Arabidopsis thaliana: one gene and its partner. The protein of the gene in region 1 binds, or shares a complex with, the protein of each later gene. Each region holds a gene or a part of one and is shown on either strand. Other genes may lie near its edges. A codon is read from its position in the direction of its gene.

The links.
Region 2: the proteins of NAGK (region 1) and GLB1 are in contact, whole or in part, in a crystal structure (PDB 2RD5), measured with the Arabidopsis thaliana proteins. Residues at the interface, in NP_191315.1 of Arabidopsis thaliana: Arg195 (codon at 2,848), Glu208 (codon at 2,887), Val209 (codon at 2,890), Ala210 (codon at 2,893), Arg211 (codon at 2,896), Val212 (codon at 2,899), Glu251 (codon at 3,016), Ala254 (codon at 3,025), Ala255 (codon at 3,028), Ile286 (codon at 3,121), Lys287 (codon at 3,124), Lys290 (codon at 3,133), Ile310 (codon at 3,193), Arg311 (codon at 3,196), Ala314 (codon at 3,205), Gln315 (codon at 3,208), Gly316 (codon at 3,211), Gly347 (codon at 3,304); in NP_192099.1 of Arabidopsis thaliana: Arg82 (codon at 1,285), Trp84 (codon at 1,177), Arg85 (codon at 1,174), Gln88 (codon at 1,165), Arg118 (codon at 685), His119 (codon at 682), Gly120 (codon at 679), Gly121 (codon at 676), Ser122 (codon at 582), Glu123 (codon at 579), Glu153 (codon at 409), Thr157 (codon at 397), Glu159 (codon at 391).

What each region holds. Positions count from the first base shown.
Region 1 is NC_003074.8:21,310,722-21,314,472, reverse strand, and holds NAGK (N-acetyl-l-glutamate kinase), read left to right. Parts: upstream 1-2,094; 5' UTR 2,095-2,265; coding exon 2,266-3,309; 3' UTR 3,310-3,648; downstream 3,649-3,751. Other genes in the region: AT3G57570 (ARM repeat superfamily protein), read right to left, coding at 168-304, 403-505, 614-896, 1,030-1,111, 1,201-1,411, 1,527-1,627, 1,725-1,875. UniProt on the Arabidopsis thaliana protein: Involved in the arginine biosynthetic pathway via the intermediate compound ornithine.
Region 2 is NC_003075.7:819,605-823,355, reverse strand, and holds the start of GLB1 (nitrogen regulatory P-II-like protein), read right to left. Parts: upstream 1,811-3,751; 5' UTR 1,621-1,810; coding exon 1,422-1,620; intron 1,330-1,421; coding exon 1,284-1,329; intron 1,182-1,283; coding exon 1,154-1,181; intron 764-1,153; coding exon 676-763; intron 585-675; coding exon 517-584; intron 437-516; coding exon 367-436; intron 247-366; coding exon 211-246; intron 118-210; coding exon 62-117; 3' UTR 1-61. Other genes in the region: AT4G01897 (dihydroorotate dehydrogenase), read left to right, coding at 1,890-2,021, 2,187-2,261, 2,708-2,869; AT4G01895 (systemic acquired resistance (SAR) regulator protein NIMIN-1-like protein), read right to left, coding at 2,977-3,399. UniProt on the Arabidopsis thaliana protein: Participates in sensing carbon and organic nitrogen status and regulates some steps of primary carbon and nitrogen metabolism.

The DNA of each region.
Region 1 (3,751 bases):
GATGACATAAACTTATTCTTAGACAAAATTGGGTCAGAGACTCAGAGGACTTAGACATATGCAGCAGTTGCAGATACGGACACAATAGAAACCCATAGGTACTGTATGTAATATTTATCTCTATCACAAAATTTTGAAACCAAAAAAGATTGGCGACAATTTCTAACCTTAATACCAGACAAATATTGCTCCAACAATTCCTTACTAATCTTTGAGAACTTTTGATCTTCCATGTGGAGCAAGACACTGTAATGCTTCCAACAAGAAGAGAGCAGTAGAGCTCCACCCATAGATACCTCTGTGCCTGAAATCCAGGTATTAAACAATGAATTTGAAAAGCAAGAATCAAAAACAGAAACAGAAAACGGAAATGAACAAGGAAAGGCGGCATCAGTCAGAGACCTGCCTCCTTTTGGGAGCCACCATGATGCTCTTTCAACTCCTCTAACCATTTCAGCACTTGACTTAACCCCTTCGCATGCAGTAGTCGAGTTTTTCTGTTCCACTGGAAGGAATCATTTGTCAATATTACTCGACTCAAATCATGGATTACTTCGTCACTTCAAAATTTAGAACACAGCTCAAGCATATTTAGATGGATCAGCGAACATACAGCAAAAAGACATTGTACAAGGCGTGTCAGATCCTCCATGTGGTTCCACAGTATACAATTTGTCTCAATGTTTGAGTCTTCAGGTAGAGAAGTCGGCCTTTTTTTTTTCTCACTAATATTAGGTGTCAAAGCAACAGGTTGATGAGACCCCGTAATGGTTGGTGACTTTGGTCTATTGATCAGAGTATTATCCCTCTTTGCTAAGGCTCCAGTAATTGACAGCAAGCAATCAGCAGCAGAAAGAGAAAGACGAGATGGCACCTCATATCCATCTTGTAAAATACTAAACAAAATAACAACAGCTCAGAACAAAGTGGAAATGACTATGTATGTAAGTGTACAAACTTGCTCCATATAGAACAAAAAATAGAGAGCAGGAGATGATATTTATACCCATTGACAAAGAAGTTTTATACCTTCCATTGCGTACAATCATCAACAAGTGAGGCACACAAGATGAAACAATCTCCACAAACATAGAATGTTTCTCCCTAATTCCTGTCAACAAAAAAATTTATACAAGTACATAAGTAAAGAGAGCGTTTTCTTTCCTTCAATAGAGATAGCCAGATGATTATAATGCTCACCATGCCAAAAACCTTGATCCCCAGTATCCTCACATTCTACAAGACGTCGGATAAGTAAACACCATCCAAGCGCTAAAAACCTGTCCTCGTTCCTCAAAATGATATTCGAAAGATTTCTCGAAACGGCTTGAAAGAGAACTTCATCTTGAAATAGCCAATTTAGAAGTATCATAGCTGGGTTACCATGCTTAGAATCCTTAAACCTTAATGTCTAAAAAACAACAACAAAAGTAGAGAAACCAACACGTAAGAACATACAAGATAAAAGACCGGACATTACAACAATCAAGCAAGGTTTTAACTTTTCACAGGGTTTAAGATATTACATGTTCGATAATGGGTACAAGAATTTCACTCATGGCTTCGTCTCTCTCAGCAGCGTCTATAACGCACTTTTCCAAAAACCAGAGTGCCTCATCGATAGAGCCTAACGAAAACAAACAGATTATAAACCCCAAAAGAGCATGTGTAAACATAAATAAACACAGATTAAGGATAAAATTGAAATTGAAAACAGTTATTACCTGAGACACCCTTTTGAGAATCAGGAGTTAGACGAGAAATAGACTCTCGTAGCTTTTTAGGGCGAGCTGAGAGAAGCGTACTCATGAACCTAGCTACAGTGACGGAGACTAGAGACTCCGGTTCTGATCTTCGTATCAATTCCTCCTCCATTTCCCTCTCAATAATCAGCAATTCCAGGTATTTAATTTATTGCTGATTGAAATTACTCTCTACTCTAATTTGTAGCAATCTCGCGGAGACGACGACGAACAGAAAAAAAAAAAAAAAAAGCCTGAGCTCTGTTTTATTTCCCGCTACAAGATGAAACGACATCGTTTAAGTACAAAAAGAGACAGAACAACAACGTCAGCGTTTTGTATTTCACAAGTACGTCACCGTTTAAACTTAGGGCTAGGACAGCATCTTTGTGTCTACGCTCCACGTGGACATTAATCATTTGTTCATTTTGTTGTTTAACTAAAATCGTCGAAGAAGATCTGAGAGACCATCTCGCTTCAGCTAATTCGCCGCCGCTTCCTCCTTCTCCGGTAAGGTTCAGGAATGGCCACCGTCACATCCAATGCTTCACCTAAATCCTTCTCCTTCACTGTTTCCAATCCTTTCAAAACCCTAATCCCCAACAAATCACCATCTCTCTGTTATCCAACTCGCAACAAGAACCATCACCGTCTAGGTTTCTCGATAAAAGCCACCGTATCAACACCACCTTCAATCGCAACCGGAAATGCACCTTCACCGGATTACAGAGTCGAGATTCTCTCCGAATCTCTACCATTTATCCAAAAATTCCGAGGTAAAACCATAGTTGTCAAATACGGCGGCGCAGCAATGACTTCGCCGGAACTTAAATCCTCCGTCGTAAGCGATCTCGTGCTCCTCGCGTGTGTCGGTCTTCGTCCGATCCTCGTTCACGGTGGTGGTCCTGACATCAACCGTTACCTGAAACAACTCAACATCCCAGCTGAGTTTCGTGACGGACTACGTGTCACCGACGCAACGACGATGGAGATCGTCTCTATGGTTTTAGTCGGAAAGGTCAATAAGAATCTGGTTTCTCTTATTAACGCCGCCGGAGCCACCGCTGTGGGGTTATCAGGACACGACGGTCGTCTTCTCACAGCACGACCTGTTCCCAATTCAGCTCAGTTAGGTTTCGTTGGTGAAGTTGCAAGAGTTGATCCATCTGTGTTACGTCCGCTCGTTGATTATGGTTACATTCCAGTGATTGCCTCTGTTGCTGCTGATGATTCTGGTCAAGCTTACAATATCAATGCAGATACAGTTGCTGGAGAGCTTGCGGCCGCGCTTGGAGCTGAGAAACTGATTCTGCTGACTGATGTGGCTGGAATCTTGGAGAATAAAGAGGATCCAAGTAGTTTGATAAAGGAGATTGATATAAAAGGAGTGAAGAAGATGATTGAAGATGGGAAAGTTGCTGGTGGGATGATTCCTAAAGTGAAGTGTTGTATAAGGTCTCTAGCTCAAGGAGTTAAGACTGCTAGTATTATTGATGGAAGGAGACAACATTCTTTGCTTCATGAGATTATGTCTGATGAAGGAGCTGGAACTATGATTACTGGATAAGTTTGCTGTAATGGGTGATCATCAAAGTTGAGTTTTTTGTATTTGAGAATGCCAATGTTTCTTCATTAGGATGTCAAATATGTGCTTTAAACTTATGATCATTTCTTATATTAGTCTTTAAAAGACAGTTTTTTTCGGTTTACATATGCAACTTTGATGATTATCCTTCGTCTTAAAAAAGTTAGGATTATCTGTTTTAGTAAATCTTCTTCTTTCTCATTTGTTTAGCTCTGTTCTTCTTACATTGTTTATCCAATGTTTGTTCATTAGGATGTCAAATCTGTGCTATGAACTTATGATCATTTCTTATGTTAGTCTTTGAAAAGATTTTTGGCAGTTTTTGTTGTTTGCATCTTAGCATTTGCAGCTTTGTTGTCTCATGAATATCATTCGTCTTAAAAAGTTATATTTTTGGAGACACTAAGCTGTTCTAAGGATAGTT
Region 2 (3,751 bases), on another chromosome or scaffold:
TTCGCAGAATCTAGAGACCGAAATGAAAAAAAAAAAAACCATTCTTGAGCTCTGTTTGTTCCTAAGACGGTGAAAGCATATCACCAGTCATCTTCTCTGCTTTCTCCCCACGCTCACCTGAAAATGTTTTATCAACATGTACACACGTTTTAAGGCAAGCCAAGATCTGTGTCTTTCTTTTAAAAAGAATATGGCTTTTGAAGTTTTTACCTGTCCTAACTCTTATGACATCTGACACAGGCAAAACTGTATATAACCAAACAAGAAACAATCACAATCTGAGTAATTTCATTTTGCATTTACAATTTGAGGTATCAAACATAAATCTGATTGTGAAAAGAGTAACAAGAAAACTTTTTGTGTTACCAAAAATCTTGCCATCACCAATCTCTCCTGTCCTTGCTCCTTCAATTATTGTGTTGATTACAGATTCCACCTGCAACAAGAAAAAAAAAAGTAATGGCTCAAACTCGAATTTCGCTTATGAAGTATCGATTTTTTTAACCATATACGTACTTGGTCTTTCTTAACAACGATTTCCATCTTAACTTTAGCAACAAATTTGTCTTCCGAGAACTCAGAGCCTGCAAATGCAACAATGTGTATAGAAAAGTCATGAACACATTTTGACAATAAGAAGAATCATCAAACCAATTCTTGAATTCACGGACGTACCACCGTGTCTCTCGGTAGAACCTCCTTGTGCACCAAACCCTCTCACATCAGAAACAGTAACACCTCGAATCCCGATTTTCAGTAAAGCCTATTTATTTATGAAACAGAGAAACTCAAGATTTAGTTTTGGATTTTTCAAAAGTGTAATAATCATCTCTATATACTAAGGAAGTAACAAGTACCATCTACAATAACTATGAGAACCATAAACCCTTCAATTCAAATTCACATTTCAAACACTAGAGAAACGAAGATTTGACCAGTCCTGTCGAGTTCACTGACATTATTTGATTTTCGCATGCATCGATAAGAACTACTACTCTTACTTATTTCTCAAAATTCTGTTTTATAGTATTCAAAATCCACATTTAAAACACTATAGACTCTTCATGGATAACAAGTAATAATGGAAACCTCAAGTGATTAGCAAAGTTCAAATCTTTTCACATATCAAAGTTGAGAACAAGGAAAATCTTACCGATGAAACTTGCTGGATTCTCCATGGTCTTTATCAGTCCAACATTCATACATGAACAGAGAAGAAACAAGCAACATTGTCACAATTATGAGCTTTGATTGGTACATCAAAACAAAAATTAGAAGCTTACCTGACAATTGCTTCCACCTTGTAAAATTTCGAGTCTGGAATATAATCTAACAAAATATGAAAAGAGAAATGCTATGAACACACAAAAGAAACCAAATTGATCGAAAAAAGGATCAGAGACTCATTACTGTTGGCTTACCAGAAGATATTTGGGCACTAACGACAGGTAAAACACGACTGTTATTACTCGGTGACTTTGTGACCAAATCGAGGCAAGATGGTCGGGAATGTCTGAATCCAGAACAAATCGAAATGCAATCAGAGAAAGCAATGTTCTTTCGATCAGAATAGAAACCGAGAGAAGTTATTGAGATGGGTTTCGTCATTGACGCCGCCATGATTCTAGTTTTTTTTTTAACACAACTTTCAGAGTTTCCTCTTTACCAACTGATTTCGACCATCGAAAGCGACGACGAAGGAGGTAATTATTGGAAGTGGAACTTCGAAGTTGACGACGAGTCGGTTTAGCTAATAAAACCGGTTTAGTACAGAAATTGATTTCCGGTTTAGATCGGTTTAGTGAAGTGGCTCTGATGGAATGGAATCGAATCAAGTCTGCTTTAAAGTTACGATTTTTCGATCTCACACTGGTTAAGGTGAAACAAAAATGGCTGAGGAAGAGTTCATATACAGAATCAGTACGGAACAAGAATGGGAAGAGTTTAAGAAGAATGGATCTTCTTATGGTGCAGAGATTGATAAATCAACTTGTTATTATCATCTCAGCAAACTTGATCAGGTCTTTCTCTCTTCCCATAAAGATCTCAACTTTTTCATTTGGGTGATGAAGATTCTCGAAAATTTTCTCATTTTCTTAGGCAATTTGGTTTGAACTTGTGAAAAATCATTACTTTTATGTAGATTTTTACTGCTTTTGTGATGAAATCGATTCTCTGATTTCTAGGTACAATTGACATTGAAGAACTTTTTCGTGGATGTGAAGGAGTATCTTTACCTTCTTCAAGTCGATCCTAAGAAGGTTGACTTTTACCTTTAACTTGAAACATATGTGGATAGAAAATTTATGATCATTTTTGTGTTAGGGATCCTCTAGTTTGGTGAGTGGTTGATTTGGTAAATGTTAGTTTATTGCGTGATTAGCTCCATGTTTAAGTAGAGGAGCAGTTAGCTAAAGTGGGTATGAGTTAGCTAGAGTTGGTTATGTGTGGTTTGTGCTAAAGTTTAGTGTTATTTTGTACACTTGAAAACAAAATGGGTTTCAAACATTTTTCTTACCAAGCTGCAATTGTGGATAAACACAATCTAAGTAGCAGAACCATGATCTTAGGATGGTCATGGACATTGATGTAAAGTTCTTACAAAATTGTCATTTGAATCGTTATGCTACGTTGATGTTTTGGATACATTTTAGTGCTAAGAAGAGATTGACATTTTTGTTTTTGTTTGATGTGCTTTATTTGGCAGCTTGGAGATGGATTAATCTATGAAGCTGTGGATGAAGTAAATAGCTTCCCTCACTTCTATGGTCCAGACAAAACCTTCGTTCCTCTTCCTCTAGATTCTGTCGTCAAAGCTGAGAAGCTAACATTCATCAATGGAAATTTCACATGCAGCTTCTTGACTTGATGATTCACTGCTTTAAGTTTAATTGCAATGTCACTCTTTTAATAATGTAATTAAGAAAGTTTTTTTCTTCTTATTCACGAAACAGAACCAAAAAACAAAGTGTATTATTACAATGCAAGATTAAGATCTAAACCATTATCTTTTCTCATCACCTTCTCAACTTCTTCTTCTCCTTCATCATCATCTTCTTCTTCTTCATCATCTTCTTCTTCTTCTTCTTCTTGCTTCTCTTCTTCTTGGTTCTTGGTGGAGATAATCGAATTCGATGGCTTTAGGTTTAAGTCCATACAGTGAGAAAAATCTTCAGCACGGAATACAGGAACAATGCTGTAGTCGGATCTCTTGGTCGGCATCGAAGCAACGTCGCCAGAATCTTGAGTTAAGTATTGTCGTCTTCGTTTCTTAGCATCCTGGTAGTTTTTAATGAGATTGAAGAACATGTCCATCTTCTTGTTCTCCAACTCTTCTTCTTCGTCTTCATCGATCTCGTTGATCCTTTTGTTCTCTGTTTTTTCTTCTTCTTGGTTCATTATCTCTTTTCGATGGTGAAGAAGAAGAAGAAGAAAGTTTTGTTTTTCTTTCTTTTGTTTTTGGAATTTAGGGTTTTTAGGAGAAATGTATATTGAGGGGAGTGGTGAAAGATAATGGTATTAGAAAAGACTAAATTGCCACTTATAACCTCCAATTTATTTTTCTATATCTAGTTTATTTGTATTTCAATTAAAAAATGTGTTCTAGAAAAGAACATATAGTTTTAATTAGATTTCTAAGTGAAACCAAAATCCACAAACCAATACATTATTAAATTCCCTTAAATAAAGAATAAAACCATACATTTTTCAATTTAAATTAATCATATATCAAAGTTAATAACTCTTTACT